3 linked regions of the Bombyx mori genome follow. The protein of the gene in region 3 interacts with the protein of the main gene of each other region in a biochemical or structural test. Links are inferred from orthologs where the notes say so. Each region holds a gene or a part of one and is shown on either strand. Other genes may lie near its edges.

Evidence for each region. The genes of interacting proteins can lie anywhere in the genome.
Region 1: the proteins of polyubiquitin-A (region 3) and ATPase WRNIP1 form a complex in vitro, tested with the Homo sapiens proteins (6 studies listed by BioGRID). The link is inferred for Bombyx mori from reciprocal best matches to the Homo sapiens genes UBC and WRNIP1.
Region 2: the proteins of polyubiquitin-A (region 3) and proteasomal ubiquitin receptor ADRM1 form a complex in vitro, tested with the Homo sapiens proteins (10 studies listed by BioGRID and IntAct, with this or other methods). The link is inferred for Bombyx mori from reciprocal best matches to the Homo sapiens genes UBC and ADRM1.

What each region holds. Positions count from the first base shown.
Region 1 is NC_085110.1:12,983,774-12,990,292, forward strand, and holds the start of ATPase WRNIP1, read left to right. Parts: upstream 1-2,474; 5' UTR 2,475-2,623; exon of another isoform or gene 2,624-3,605; intron 3,606-3,709; 5' UTR 3,710-3,735; coding exon 3,736-3,939; intron 3,940-4,233; coding exon 4,234-4,425; intron 4,426-5,160; coding exon 5,161-5,333; intron 5,334-6,519. Other genes in the region: protein O-mannosyltransferase 1, read right to left, coding at 1-279, 555-733, 1,818-1,931. UniProt on the Homo sapiens protein: Functions as a modulator of initiation or reinitiation events during DNA polymerase delta-mediated DNA synthesis. In the presence of ATP, stimulation of DNA polymerase delta-mediated DNA synthesis is decreased.
Region 2 is NC_085111.1:12,300,276-12,306,924, forward strand, and holds the start of proteasomal ubiquitin receptor ADRM1, read right to left. Parts: upstream 4,046-6,649; 5' UTR 3,886-4,045; intron 3,560-3,885; 5' UTR 3,557-3,559; coding exon 3,230-3,556; intron 2,361-3,229; coding exon 2,146-2,360; intron 1-2,145. UniProt on the Homo sapiens protein: Component of the 26S proteasome, a multiprotein complex involved in the ATP-dependent degradation of ubiquitinated proteins.
Region 3 is NC_085127.1:9,713,253-9,717,226, forward strand, and holds the start of polyubiquitin-A, read right to left. Parts: upstream 2,801-3,974; 5' UTR 2,670-2,800; intron 2,411-2,669; 5' UTR 2,403-2,410; coding exon 1-2,402.

The DNA.
Region 1 (6,519 bases), on a different chromosome or scaffold from region 3:
AGTATGGCAGTCCATTGATGTAAAGATAGTTCTAGCATCAAAAAATATGTAATTAAAACTAGAAAACTTCCTGACACAGCTGGAACTAGCCTGAGAGCCTTCACAGGAACATTGTCAGTATATGGAGTACCAATCCGGTCAAAAGTAAAGTTTCCATCATATCCAGCAATACTACCAGCTAGATATAACAACTGTTTGCCAAGTGGTGGATGAGCATCAAAAAAAAAGACACCCTTAGTATATAATGAAACATATCTTCCATAATGTAATTCATCAAATCTGAAACATGAAACTCGTAAGTATTTTAATACCTAAATTCATTACAATAAAGCTGAATTTGAAACAAATTAAACAAGCATAGTATTATTATGAAATAAAAATTATGATTTAGGGGCATGATGCAAGATAGTTAAAATGTCAAGCTTTTATCTTCTCATACTAGCTATTAGGTAAAAGAGTTAAAACAGATGGCAGGTAAAAATTCAATCAATTTAAAACACAACACAAAAAGTATTACTCGTGAACTTTGATAATTACGTATATATTTTTCTTACACAATATGGCGAGGTTCATCTAGTTTATATAAACGAGTGCATAATGCCAATATTAGAAGTCCTATTGCGATTACATCAATCTTGAGCTGTAAATATATGCGTGAAGGAGAATGATTCATTTTGTTCGTCAGCATTAATTCTGGTTTTTCAGTTTCATTTTCAGCTGGGGCACCATCGCCCTTTAAAAGGAAGGATTAAGGATTCTTAACCAATTATGGTAGATTAGAAAGTGTTGATGAGATATTAAAAAAGGTGAAATGGAGAGAACATTTCACCTTCTTTAATTCCATCTAAGATGTAAATCTTTTATAAAACTTACTTAACTTACTGTAACTTCTCACTAAAGAACTATAAGCACTATTTTACTTTGGCTATTTATAAGCTTATAGTTTTAAGCATTATAACTTATATGTTAATAATTGGTAATAGTTAATAATTCAATTAATAACATTCCCAGTAAATTATTATATTACAATAACAAATCTTACCAGTAACTTACTAATAATTTATAAAAACGATTTCGATGGGTCATCATAATCTTATCACCTGTATTTGATTATGATTTATGAAAAGACAAAGTACCTGCCATTTTTTTTAAAAATATTGTATGAGAATTATTGTAATTCAATCAATGAAATTCTGAAACATTCATACATAAATGCTAAGAAAACTTCTGAGTAAATAATCCCGAAAACTTTATTTGTTATTAGTTGTACAATGACACAGTAATTTCATCCACATAAGTGAAGACATAAGTTTTCAATATATCGAGGGGTGAAAGGCATTTTGGTTTAAGCGACATTTCGCTAATATGTGATTAATCTTTGAAGGTAAATAAACGTCCATTTTATTTAGTTTTAGTATCGATAGATGTTTTTAATTGAACTTCAATTAAGTTTAGCCCATTCAAATAGCTGAAGAAGTTTTTTTTGTTATGATTCTGTTATAAAATTTTCAAACTTCAACTCCTGTAAAGTTGAAAAAATGTCGCTTAAACCAAATAGCCCTCGATATGATTCGAAACATCGGAAATTAAATATAAATTACTAACGCGAGTCATTAATCACAACTGGGAAAAAAAATTTATTACAATCTATATCTAATCAACGATTCGCATTTACTATTTAATTAAGTTTTGTAAATGAGCCAAGGATTAAATTAATAAATATACGAAGTTTGGTGAAGTTTCTAAGTCATAAATTACGAATTATTGTGCTTATGGTTTGTAAATATTAATTACGAAATTAAAACAAATTTACTTGCCACTTCTCGATGGGAATTACATGTTTTCTCCGAATAACTGTACTCCTGAGGTTCTGTGACCTCCTTACGAATCTTGTTTATTTTACGATTTTTAACACACCGTCCTGTGTCCATTATTTCTGTATTGAATTATAATTAACATTAGAATATTTAAGTACATAGAATGCGGTTCGTCAAATATTATTCAACATAAAATTCGATTGATGAAAGTTAAATTTTTCATTTCAGTGCAAGTGTTTTTAGTAGGTAAGTAAATAAGTATCTACTACCTACACTTAATTTGCCTAAGGGAACTTAGACCATACAGGCATACACATACATCATACCATCTTTCAAAAAAAACCCTTTCAGCTGAGAACGAGCATGAAAGCATGAAACGTCATTAATTGGAATAGATTTTGTAACTAACTTGAATAAATTCTCACCATTTTACTGAAAGATTAAATAAAATTATTTAATCTCAACACATTTAATTTCATAATATTTTCTTTTACATTTTGGTCTTTTCATATTCCTAATATTTGATTTTTTCATTACCTTATTAACTCCATTTTATTAGAACTAACGCCCTGTCTACGGTATTTTTTAAAACATAAAAGGGTGGATGAGCTGTGACGTCGAAAGTGATACCGGAGAGCCCATAGACATTTGAAACATAAATGCCATCACCCACATTATGACATGAGTTCTACCAGTGCGGGCTCACCTCGCCCTGATTTATCGAAATGAAAACTTTTGCAGAATTTTTATGATACAATGTTATTCCTTCATCATAGAAATCATTCATGAACCGTAATAAGTATCAAGTATGTGTTTCGGTAGAATAATTGGTACCTTCCTTGAACGCTTGTCCAGTCGCATCGCTTGATACGAATGCACCGGGTGACACTTAGCCATGACGACGTCAAAACAAAGTAGGATCAGACTGTGCGACCTATGTTCCTTTTGATGATTTGCCTTTCTGTTGCAATATAGCTTATAATACATAAACATGGTGGGGACTTTTTGGCGAGAACGTGAGGAGTGAATTGTGATTTGTTTTATTTTGTCTATTTTAGTGTTTATTCGGGTTTAAATGTGTAATAACGGTGGTTTCTTGACTATTTAGTATTTGTGAAAGTGCACACATGTGGAAAAATGAAACAAAGCTGCTGAATGTAACTTCTTGGGATGCTCCAAAAAGTCCACTGAAAAAGTCTCAGTAAATGACCACCATTTTACTGAGATTATATTTCATCTCATCTCATATAATCTTATCTCATTTGTTTAAGTTCATGCCAATTGATTAAGTTTCCTTCGTTTTTTATTATTCATAAACTTTAAATAAATAAAACGGCGAATTATAAAAATCCATGGAGTTAATAAGTACCATAAAAATCTTATTACTTGACGCTGGCTAATGCACAAACCGTGCCGGATCCAAAAACTAAAGAAGAAACTATTGGGTGGGACTACTTGAACTTTTTTGGCGGGAATGCGAGAAGCGAAGCTGTGTGAATTTTGTCAATTTAGTTTCTTAGGGTTTTGACGTGTTTTATCGGTGAATTATTAACTGTTCAATATCTCTGAAAGTGCACTAATCACTGATGAGGGAGGGAAAGTGAAATAAATGCGCTGGACATTGGGTCTCAGGTTCTTCCAAAAAGTGCACTGAAAAAGTCTTATAGTAATATAACCACCATTTTACCTTCTTTATTTATCCCATCTCCTTTTTTTGTATCATCCCAAATTTTCATATGAAAACAAAATAAGAAAATATAAGACTTGGCTTGAAGGTCTCTTCACCAGGTAATAAAATCTTTAAAAAATTTAATTGATATTTTATTTGAAGTAAGTATACCTCTACATAAGTTCAGTAAATTTAATTATATCATGCGAGTTACTTGTTACAGGTTCATAAAATTGAAAAGATAAAAATATGAGTGATTGTACAAAGACTGTGAATTGTCCTATATGTAATAGAAGTTTTGAAAATACCGAAATTGAGGAACATGTAAACAAATGTCTTTTTCTCAATTCTTGTGAAAAATCTAATTCGAAAAGACAAGGGCAACAACTATTATCTCCAAATGAAAAAAGAAAGAAAGTTGAAAAGTTAACAGCTTTGCCTCCAAACTTGAAGGTGATGTGGATAAAAAAACAATATTTTTTTGATTATCTTAACAGTAAGAGTATAGATAAAATTGTGTAGATCCAGTTACAAGTACAAGGAGCTAGCACTTATTATTAAATATACCAATATAATATTGCATAAAAAATTAAAACATACTGACAAATATGCATATAGCATGCTGATGTTGAACCTATGACTTCTGAATGGAGGAATGCTAGCATGCAGCAATTCAATTGCTTCACTATATCTCTATTAGTTATTAAATTAAAACATAATTTAAAATTAATTCAAATCTTTCAACAGAGTTCACAATCACAAAAAATAAGCACAAATGAAAACATAAAAATACCTCTATCAGAGTCTTTAAGGCCAAAATCTCTGGACCAGATTGTTGGACAAAAGCAATCATTTGGCACAGATTCAATGCTCCGATCGATGCTTGAACAAAACAAGATTCCTAACATGATTTTGTGGGGTCCACCAGGCTGCGGAAAGGTTATGCTACATCAAAAATTTTAACAAAAAATACTGTAGAGAATTGGGATTCACGACTTCTTTCTACAATTTCTCAATATGTGACATAAGCTCTACATCTATCTCATTTATATTGAAAGCTTAGGACTGACTATCTACTGACATTATTATGAATATGTTAGGCTCTAGTTTGGCAAAAGGAATAGGAATCAGTTGGAGGGATTAGTTATAATATTACCTGTTCAATAATCCCAATGTAGCATATTTTCATATCTTATGTCCTTAGTAATACACTTGAAGAGATGAAAGTGAATAGATTCAGACCTTAAATATTATATATCTTAAAGAAAAAATTTGAATCCTAAGATCAGCAGTCAATATTACTAACCACTGGACTACAGAGATAACCTAGTTATAAAATAAGGTCTGTTAGTCTATCACTGATATAAGGTTTACTATTATACTCTAATAGCTATATAAATAACATTTTTTTGTTTTCTACACATTCCCAAACCATTCTTCCATTTGTGTTTAAATTTACTACAGTTCTTATTGGCACTAAAGGAAGGTTTCGCTCATGTAGCATCATTGTGTGATGAAAGTGATAAATTTCAAAAATACTGATATTTTTTTATACCCATAGTGATTATAAGAATGTGACCAGTTAGACTAGTTATAAGTGAAGGCACTGGCATAGCTTAGTCATTTTAATAAAACAATGAATTATTCAATTATTCGTCTTCTTGATTATTTCAGACGTCATTAGCAAATGTTATCTCTAATATTTGTAAAAAACAAAATAATTTAAAATTTGTAAAACTATCAGCTACTACATCTGGCATCAATGATGTAAAGGAAATTGTTAAAATAGCAAAAAATGATGCACAATTTAAAAACCAGACTATTTTATTCATGGATGAAATCCACAGGTAAATGGTATTAAATTGAATTGGTCAAAGAAGGTGTATTTGTATATTTGTGATGCTGGCATCTTTAGTTAGGTATCTCATATGATTATTATATGATAAATTGCAGATGAGTCATTTCTACAATTGTTGCAGATTTAGGCATTTATAGAAAAGAAATTAACTAGTACTGTGTGTAAATTGCAGTGTTTAATTAGCTTTAGCATGTAAACTTCCTAATCATAATACTTGTGTATTATTATGTTTGTAATAAGTACAAAAGAGTTCACCAGTGAAATTGTGCTTGTTTGGCCTGGGCAGCAATGTTCTTTTTTATTGCCCTGGTAAGCAGGTATAATCCGGCCAACCTGATGGCAAGTGACACTTTAGGTCATTAATGTTAGCAATTCCAGAGGCACAGCAAAGTCTCTGCCTATGCTAAGTATGCACACCAGCATACTACGATTGTACCAGTAAATAGGGTAATGTCAGTCCCCATAGGTGGGTCACCATCATCTTACCTAAATCTGCAGCAGAACAGTCCTGCATTCCGTATAGAAAGGTGGGATAACCATTATGTTAAACAATTGGTTGCAGAGGAGGATGTTTTATACGTATTGTGGTAAGGGCTACAATAATCACTTAATACCAGTTCGCTCATGAGCTACTGAGTAATGAAAAAAAAACGATTCTAGATATGACGCAAATGTCGCTATCTCCCTTGGAGTCTTTTAGTTCACGCAACACAATCTACAAATTTAAATTAATTAATAAATTAATTTAATAAAAAAATACCTACATTGAAATCACCATTTGTGGTGTGAACACAACTTTAGGATTCTGTATTAACGTATATACCATCTTTAAATCTAGAACGCATCGCAGTTGTGGAGCCAAAATGGTATGAATGGTACCTAATTATGTAGAAAAAAATTGAATACATCACGTTAATCTTACATTGTCCATGTAATTTGTATTTTTAAGACCTTTGCAGGTAGATGAGTATACGGTTCGACTGGTAAGGGCTTACCGTCGCTAATGGTCAAGCAATGCCAAGGGCATAGCTAAGTCAATGCATACGAACTGTTTCGGAGGCGGGAAGTGCGATGGCAACAGCCATATAGGACTTGAATTCCATCATAATCTTATAATTTGTTAATAATATTTCGCGCATCTTACTGATTGGGCCGTAAATAGATTTACTTTACTG
Region 2 (6,649 bases), on a different chromosome or scaffold from region 3:
GCGCATGGTACACTCACGTACAAAAACATTATTTACTCTGCGTCATAATGCAATTAAATTATTAAAATCAACATATATATTTATTTATATACTTATTAGAACATCAACAAAAAATATAGGTTAATAATTGTAATAATTTAATCTTGCGGTAAAATAAATATTCCTTCTATTAAGTCATAACTAGAGCTGTTGCCAGGACTTGGTTCAGTTGAAGCGAAGCTGGTATTTGTAATTTTTTTTTCGTTATCATAATCTTGACCATCATCATCAATCACTGTTTTCATTACCCGAGTCGCTATCATCGTGATGAGTCGACATAGGGCTCATCGGTGTAGTTTCGGTCGGTTCGGTCTACTTTTTTGTCTATAATTAATTATTTTTTGAAGATATTCGATTCGTAGTAATCGAATGTAACTTTTTTCAATTACCAGCTTCCGATTATTTTCTGGTTTTTTTTTCCATCTGAAGCCTAGCTCTTTCATAATTCGTTTCCATTAAAATTTATATCTTCTTTAAATTTTTCGAAGCCTTTCTACGGTAAGGAGTTTCGCTGCTTGTTATGTAGTTATTATGATTACATCTTTTTATTAGATTGAACGAAACTATCCATTCCGGTAACTTTATTCTTCCCTGATCTTTTCTTACCCGGAGTCCGAAACACGGCGAGCAAGCCAGAGCCTTTAGCTTCGTTAATAATGCACCTAACAGTACTCACGGATGTTTTTGTTGCTTCCGAAGTCTGTTTTACTTTTCCATATCATTCTTCCTCTGTTTTATAATGAAGCAACATACGTCGTACATATTTTTTCTACCCTTTCTTTTGAATACTACACCAGTTTGTCGCGGCATAGTGTATTTTTTATAAAAAATCAACAAACAGCAATGGCAACAAAGTCAACAAGCAATTATAACAAATAACTTAACGATTAATAACGATAGACTTTTCACTGTACGCAAGCGTACTTTTGGGAGCAAGCGGAACGAGGGCGCGTTGCGGGGCGCAAGGTTCGACTGATCTACCAATAACGCGCTCGATACAATTTCCCCTGCCGTCGCGCCTCACCCTCACCACCAAAGTGATATAAAATTCGGTTCTGCGCAGTCAAGGTCATTTGCTCAAGAAGTTTGCCGGTTACTTTACCAGGGGTGTAAAAGGTTTTTTTTAAATTGAATGCAATCAATTCAATACTTCTATAAACTCATAATAGATTTTTTAATCAAAATTAGGCAATTATAAGCTGTTTATCTTCTGCTGATAAAATTAATTGTAAATTATTATAATACACAAAAATATGTGAGCAAACAAATTTTAATAAGCCAAACTGAACATTCATGACATACAGGTTTTTTTTTTATTGCCCTTGTAGGCAGACAAGCATACGGCCCACCTGATAGTGAGTGGTTACCGTCGCCCACGGACTTCAGCAATGTCAGAAGCAAAGCCAAGCCGCTGCCTACCGAAAATCATCTTCTCCATACAGCGAAGCAAGAGATATTTAATATCTAGCACTCCAGAAAACAAGACTGCACATATATTATATTAAATTACTCCATATTCCAAATTATTTATGTTTACTATTCACTATTATCATTTATTTATAAAGTAGGAAAAAGATAATGGTGTCAAAGAAAGATCTTTTTTTGTAATTGTTTGACTTTTATGTATTTTCATGATTACATTTTGATAAAAAATTTATGATGTATGCCTGTTTTATTACAAATGCATTGTTTGTTTTTTTTAAGATGATTTATTGGTTAAGGTTATTGGTTCCATCAATACTTAACCTGCTGATCTAAAATTTTGATGACATACTTATTGTCATAAAACTTAACTAAGGCAGACTTAAGAGAAAACAAAGTTTGTGCAAAAAACACTTAACTGATTCATGATGCATTTGCAAATCAATATAGAATGTATTTGAGGAACAAAAATGAATTCTAATACATTTTGAATTTTCAAGAAGCAGTTGAAAATGCTTTTAGAGATCATACTCTTAAAACTGGTTGAAATTGATCATCACAACCAAATGTAAGGTTAAATATGCAATATTTTTTTTATATTTACATTAGTGGCGAGAATGAGCTAAAATTGATATACTTATTGTGCTACTTATACTATTATAATATTATTAGCATAATATTTACCCCATTGTTCCTAAGAGAGAAGTAATTCCTCCCACTGGACCAACACCTCCAAATAATTGCATTAGCTGTTGTTGAGACATATTGTTGAGTAAATTACGTATTTCACGATCTTGCCCACCACTACTGCTTCCTCCACGCCCACCAGATGTAGGAGGATTGTTTAATGCTTCATTAATGCGCCGACAGTATTCTTCATCCTTGTCAGCCTTTGGCTCCTGAAAGGGCTTTCATTAATTTCTTTATCATAGAGTTTCATAGTTCAATAAGTTTTACTAATAGACTGTCATGTAGGAAGTAATTTGGAGGTCCTGATAGGTCGTCTTGTCAGTCTACATTGGTAGGTGCCACAATCTTGCCTATTTTTACCATGAAGCAGTTAAGCAGTCTGGAAAGGTGAGGCAACTGTTTTACTGTAAAAATATATCTCATGGTGGGTGTAGGCATATAACATCTACAGATGTTCTGGTAACTACTGCGCACCAAGTGGGTGGTGCACTCTAAGCAATAACCTCGTTTAAGTAATAAAAAAACGTTTATATAAATATAAAATATGTTTGTTAAAAAACTAGAAATTTCTTGGTTCTTGTAAAAATAAAAAGTCTAAAAGTGTGATTAGAAAACAAAATAAGCTATAAATCTCAATAAAATAGAAATACATATCATTAAATATTTTTTCTATAAAATAACAATTCTTCTTTAAGTGAGAATATTTTATATGATAGTAAAATTGCTACAATACTACTGAATAGTCAAGATGTCAGACTTTTAATCAAGAGAAATCAATATAAAAATCTAGTCTCTCAATCTATACAATTTTGACTTGGCAATCCAAAAATCTACCATTCTAAAGTACAGCTGAAATCAAACTGGCAATATTTTTTTTTAGAAACCATTGCCATAATTGTAGATTACAATGATTAATTAGTAAACAAATTTAAATGTTGCATCATGATTACTGTTTTTTAATACTTTACACAATAAATTAGCAACAATTTTTACCAAATTTATTTATATTTTTCACTAAGAAATTTACGGTCATCTCATGACAAACAGTTTTAAGGTTATAATATGTGTACTTTCAGACCTGCATCCAGAAGAAGCACTTCTTCGAAAACAACTTGAACTTGAGTACATAAACTCGGCCTGTGGTGCATTCATTCACACGCGTAAATTCACAATCATCAGGAAATATAAGCAAGTCATCCTCAACCTCCCCCGTAGTTCGGTCTTTCCAACAAAAGTGCATGAGAGAATCTTCTCCTTGGTAAACATACAAGAGCCCCTTCCTTTTGTCTGGATGTACCATACGACCTTTCAACGTCATACGACCAGCACGAAATTCTACTATGTGTTTGTTTCCTCCTGAACTTCCCCCAAGACCAGACGTATTGCCAAACAGTGCAGTAGACATTTTCTAAAAAAAAAAAACAAATCTGATCAAACCACAAATGGCGGAGACGGCAGGAACGAAAATAAATACATTTGATAAAAATGCAATTAAATAATTAATCACTTATCAAAGGAATTTAAATCCAGATCTTAATAACTTACATTTTAAAATTAATAGAGATTAAAAAACATAAGATGAACTTAAATGCCCAAAATCGAAATTTTATAAGTTAATAAATGATAACAAGTATGTACTAAGTACTGATATAAAATTTACTAGTATATAATGGATGTAGGTTATGCACTCAATTAAAATACAGCAGTGTTGTGGAGAAATTATTGTTAACTTACACTATGATATGCAGTGTCACTGTGAACCCTTAAAGTACTTTAACCCTTTACAGTAAACTGTTTGAAATAGTTTGAATAGAGTGACGACAAATATATTGAAGTAGGCAAGTACGAAATGTAAAATGACGCCGATGACTAGCACCTTTACTTTTTTTTTAAGGGATTTTATGACCTGGTAACTGAGACCTTTAAGTCATGTCTTATTTTAATTTATATTCATTTTTATGAAAAATGATATTATGGAGTGAAATGAAATGAAGACGACTAATTTGAGACATTAATCAACTGGGGTAAAATTAAATGAAATGAAATGGGATGAAATATAATCTCAGTAAAATGGTGGTCATTTACTAAGATTTTTTCAGTGGACTTTTTGGAGGATCTCGAGAAGTTACGTCCAGCGGCTTTGTTTCATTTTCCCACATTTGTGCACTTTCACAGATATTAAACAGTTAATAAACCACCATTCTTATACATTTAAACCCGAAGAAACACTAAATAGACAAAATAAAACAAATCACACAACTTCACTCCTCGCGTTCCCGCCAAAAAATCCTCTCAAGCACCTTTAGGTATATAAAAATAGGTTATACACTTAATATTGGTAAAGTAGAGTTGCTACATAGACCAATATCGGGACACGACATATTGTTCTATACGTACAATTGTTTATATAAATAGCACCTATTTTGAAGGCACACACATAAACATATATCTATCTCGTTCTTACTCAGTACTGTAACTCGCAGGAAAACAATATAACAGTATTTCAGTGCGTACATAAAATGAAACATGAATATACGTAAATGTCTAATATGGTCTAATGAGGCCGAAAATCCGCCATGTTTAGCGCACCAAATGTCATTGTCACGTCAGTTCAGCCGTCTGTTTTGAGTTGTACATTATTTATTGACTTTGATATCGATATAATATGATTGCTTATATAAAATTTCTTATTTTATCATGCTACCCCGCTTAAAACATACAAAAATAATAATTAAAACATATTTTATAGGATCTCAAGAAAGTCGATGCCCCAAAACTATTATCTACATATATTTAAATTCATTATGGAGCACTCATCCCAAAAATCGGACACCATTTTGAGGTCGGAATCTATTGATAATGACACTAATCATAAATACCTCTTAATAAAATGTGTCATCAAAACATATTTAGACACTCTGTTTAGATATTTCGGGCAAAAGGCTACCGACAAAATTTCTCTTCGGAACTATTTAAATAAAATAGTTTTATTCCGTAGCGAGTAAAACACTATTGTAAATTCATTAATTTTTTAATAATTAAGTGTATTTAGAGGGGAAGTCACAAGGAATGACGTTTGTAATTAAATAAATGTTCTGTAGGTGCTTTTTATCACGCGGTCCCTTGATAAGTTTAAAATTTGAATCACTCTCGAGAGTGATTCAAATGTTGCGGCGCACCTACCTTGAGGTTCGCTGCGGTAGTGTGTTACGGACTTTAGAGTCAGCAATACAATTAAAATAGATTGTAATAGTAAAATAGATTGTAACCGCTGCACGTTCAAGTTAAGGGTTCGGCGAATGCTGTTGGAAAAGTTAGCGGAATCGTCATGAACTTGATGAAGTTATTTGTTAAGGAAATTTATTCCTTTTAATACTGTATAAACTATTATATGTATGTATGTGTGTATATATGTATGTATGTATGTATATGTGATTTTGTATATATGTAGATATACTTTTTTTGTATGTATTCGTTACCTAATATAAATTTCATTGCACCTACCACTATTTACTCTGCACTACCTTTGGTTGACTGGTAGAGAATGCCTTAGGCATTAAGTCCGCCAATGTAAATTTTACATGAAGTGTAATAAATAAATAAATAAATAAATAATAGGGAGGTAAGTAGTCTAAGAAAAACACGTACTCTTATTTTCATATCCAAAACAGCATAGCTAGCATGCTAACGTTTTATCGCCGACATAAAGCTTTAATCCCTTTCCAGCATAAACGCAAGTGCGAGCGAGACGGCAACATACGAAACGACGATAACATTTAGCATGCTAGAAATGCGCAGATGGCACTGTACTGCGCCGCCGCCTTGGGTCCTGGAGGCGGAGGCGCTCGCTGCTGACTATCAGTGGCGGGCTGACCTTCGTATCCGGGGCGTGGCACGTCCCAGCCCCAGTGTGGTCAGAGCGCGGAGGGCCCAATCTCGGCGGTCCGTGCTGGAGGCATGGTCCAGACGGCTGGCCGATCCTTCGGCTGGTCGTAGGACCGTCGAGGCGATTCGCCCGGTTCTTGTGAATTGGGTGAATCGTGACAGAGGACGCCTCACTTTCCGGCTCACGCAGGTGCTCACTGGGCATGGTTGCTTCGGTGAGTTCCTGCACCGGATCGGAGCCGAGCCGACGGCAGAGTGCCACCATTGTGGTTGCGGCTTGGACACGGCGGAGCACACGCTCGTCGCCTGCCCCGCATGGGAGGGGTGGCGCCGTGTCCTCGTCGCAAAAATAGGAAACGACTTGTCGTTGCCGAGTGTTGTGGCATCGATGCTCGGCGACGACGAGTCGTGGAAGGCGATGCTCGACTTCTGCGAGTGCACCATCTCGCAGAAGGAGGCGGCGGGGCGCGTGAGAGACACGCAAGCCCGCCGCCGTCGAGCGGGGGCCAGGGAGGCGGATCTCGCCCAAGCCCTGGCCCTCTAAGTGTTTCGGGTCCCCTTCATATGTCGGTCTGGGGACAGGCGAAGGGGGCCTAAGAAGACGACGTGCAAG
Region 3 (3,974 bases):
TGCTGATCTGGGGGAATTCCCTCTTTATCCTGAATCTTGGCTTTCACATTCTCAATGGTGTCAGATGCTTCAACTTCTAGCGTGATGGTTTTACCGGTAAGTGTTTTCACAAAGATTTGCATGCCACCTCTGAGACGTAATACCAAATGCAGAGTAGATTCTTTCTGGATGTTGTAGTCAGATAGTGTACGACCATCTTCAAGCTGTTTGCCCGCAAAGATCAATCGCTGCTGATCTGGGGGAATTCCCTCTTTATCCTGAATCTTGGCTTTCACATTCTCAATGGTGTCAGATGCTTCAACTTCTAGTGTGATGGTTTTACCGGTAAGTGTTTTCACAAAGATCTGCATGCCACCACGCAGTCTCAAAACCAAATGCAGAGTAGATTCTTTCTGGATGTTGTAGTCAGATAATGTACGACCATCTTCAAGCTGTTTGCCCGCAAAAATCAATCGCTGCTGATCTGGGGGAATTCCCTCTTTGTCCTGAATCTTGGCTTTCACATTTTCGATGGTGTCAGATGCTTCAACTTCCAATGTGATGGTTTTACCGGTAAGTGTTTTCACAAAAATCTGCATTCCACCTCTGAGACGTAGCACCAAATGCAGAGTAGATTCTTTCTGGATGTTGTAGTCAGATAATGTACGACCATCTTCAAGCTGTTTGCCCGCAAAAATCAATCGCTGCTGATCTGGGGGAATTCCCTCTTTGTCCTGAATCTTGGCTTTCACATTTTCTATGGTGTCAGATGCTTCAACTTCTAGTGTGATGGTTTTACCGGTAAGTGTTTTCACAAAGATTTGCATGCCACCACGCAGTCTCAAAACCAAATGCAGAGTAGATTCTTTCTGGATGTTGTAGTCAGATAATGTACGACCATCTTCAAGCTGTTTGCCAGCAAAAATCAATCGCTGCTGATCTGGGGGAATTCCCTCTTTGTCCTGAATCTTGGCTTTCACATTTTCGATGGTGTCAGATGCTTCAACTTCCAATGTGATGGTTTTACCGGTAAGTGTTTTCACAAAAATCTGCATTCCACCTCTGAGACGTAACACCAAATGCAGAGTAGATTCTTTCTGGATGTTGTAGTCAGATAATGTACGGCCATCTTCAAGCTGTTTGCCCGCAAAAATCAATCGCTGCTGATCTGGGGGAATTCCCTCTTTGTCCTGAATCTTTGCTTTCACATTTTCAATGGTGTCAGATGCTTCAACTTCTAGTGTGATGGTTTTACCGGTAAGTGTTTTCACAAAGATTTGCATGCCACCTCTGAGACGTAACACCAAATGCAGAGTAGATTCTTTCTGGATGTTGTAGTCAGATAATGTACGACCATCTTCAAGCTGTTTGCCAGCAAAAATCAATCGCTGCTGATCTGGGGGAATTCCCTCTTTGTCCTGAATCTTGGCTTTCACATTTTCGATGGTGTCAGATGCTTCAACTTCCAATGTGATGGTTTTACCGGTAAGTGTTTTCACAAAGATCTGCATGCCACCTCTGAGACGTAATACCAAATGCAGAGTAGATTCTTTCTGGATGTTGTAGTCAGATAGTGTACGACCATCTTCAAGCTGTTTGCCCGCAAAGATCAATCGCTGCTGATCTGGGGGAATTCCCTCTTTGTCCTGAATCTTGGCTTTCACATTTTCGATGGTGTCAGATGCTTCAACTTCTAGTGTGATGGTTTTACCGGTAAGTGTTTTCACAAAGATCTGCATGCCACCACGCAGTCTCAAAACCAAGTGCAGAGTAGATTCTTTCTGGATGTTGTAGTCGGATAGTGTACGGCCATCTTCAAGCTGTTTGCCCGCAAAGATCAACCGCTGCTGATCCGGAGGAATTCCCTCTTTGTCCTGAATCTTTGCTTTCACATTCTCAATGGTGTCAGATGCTTCAACTTCTAGTGTGATGGTTTTACCGGTAAGTGTTTTCACAAAGATCTGCATGCCACCTCTGAGACGTAACACCAAATGCAGAGTAGATTCTTTCTGGATGTTGTAGTCAGATAATGTACGGCCATCTTCAAGCTGTTTGCCCGCAAAGATCAATCGCTGCTGATCTGGGGGAATTCCCTCTTTGTCCTGAATCTTGGCTTTCACATTCTCAATGGTGTCAGATGCTTCAACTTCTAGTGTGATGGTTTTACCGGTAAGTGTTTTCACAAAGATCTGCATTCCACCTCTCAGACGTAATACCAAATGGAGAGTAGATTCTTTTTGAATATTGTAATCGGATAATGTCCGTCCGTCTTCAAGTTGTTTCCCAGCGAAAATCAGTCGCTGCTGATCTGGAGGAATGCCCTCTTTGTCTTGAATTTTTGCTTTTACATTTTCTATGGTGTCGGATGCTTCGACTTCTAATGTTATGGTTTTACCAGTGAGAGTTTTTACAAAAATCTGCATGGTGGTTTCTAGAACAAAGAAGGAACTTTAATGAAGATTGACGGATGAATTCCCTATTTCGGAGTATTAAATGGATTGACGAACAAAACAAAAGAACAAAGACTTTTAGTCATCACAAAATGGCGACGATCATAAATTACATCGTCATTGTTTCAGATTTTTTTGTGTGTACAAATGACAAACTTGATTTTCAAACTTTTCTTGTTGACAATAATTATTTCATGCAGTAGAGTTGTGATATTTTTGAAAAATTGAAATATTTCCTACCTTTTTGGAATTCACAAAAATTATTAAAATTATCACAAATTGTAGGACACGTCGTGCAACTAGGTAGCTCTTTCACGAATGAATGAAATTCAACTTGACTCTTGAAAGCAGAATAAAGAATTTTATGACCTGGTAACTAAGACTTTTAGGTCAAGTCTTATTTTAATTATAATGAAAACTTTTTATATGAAAAAAGATATTATGAAATGAAATAAAGTTGATTAATATGAAACATGGTGTGAAATGAAATGAAATGAATGAAATGAGATGAGACGAGACGAGACGAGATGAGTTGAGTTAATTTAATGAATAATATAATAAATTAAAAATTCCATGTATTCCCTTCAGGCTTGTATTTTAGGATTATTCTCGATCACTATTTTAGGAAGTCGTTGCCTGAAAGAAATCACTCTGAGCAATATGGCGGAATGTTGCTATACGTATTCAAACAGTTTTTAAGCTTTGACGATTGTTTTATGTTTTGAAAAATATCTATCATAAATTAATATGTACTTTAGGACACATAAATTTATTTTCACTTAAGAAGTAATAGTAAAACTTATGCAAAGGCTTAAACAAGTTTTTATCTCTAATATATCGATTAGCCCACCAAAAGGCTTGGTGAAAACGTACAGCTGATATGTGCGAGTGCGGTGAAAATTCAATCAGCTTGTAGGAGTTGTAAATGAGAATAATAGAAAAGTTAGAGCTAGAAGAACAGCTGGTTGCCGGCGATACTCATTTTTTTATTACTTATTTATTTATTGTTAGCATAGAAGTAGAAAGACAGTCTTAATTTGCATCTGTGCTTGAATTAGGTGATGAAACCTGTATCTCAAGCAGCAGTGCTCCTCGTTCGGAGTGGGGAGCAGAAGATGGTGAATTGCTGAACGAAATGATGGCAGAGCTTTGAACGATTACATTTTGTTCACCTATAGGGCGTTGATTGTAGCAGCAGTTCATCAGAATAAATAAGCTAGGCAAGAATACTTTCGAATTAACACATAAAAAATGCTAGAGTTTTTTCAAACACTTTTAATCTTAAGTATTTGTGGTTTTTTTTCGTAATAGATACAATAGCCAATGGCCCATATGACGGTAAGTACTGATCGATGCTCATGGACACTGGCAATGCTATACTCCTTTCAAACCTTGATTGAACAAGAAGATTTCATAGAGCTCAGGAAACACCCTTGAGAGGTGTTCATTTTAAAACCGGTTTGTATGATCAGTGAAAATAACAATTTGAAGTAGTAAGGATTCGAAGGGGAATATCGATAATCCGAAAATTCATCAACAAATCAT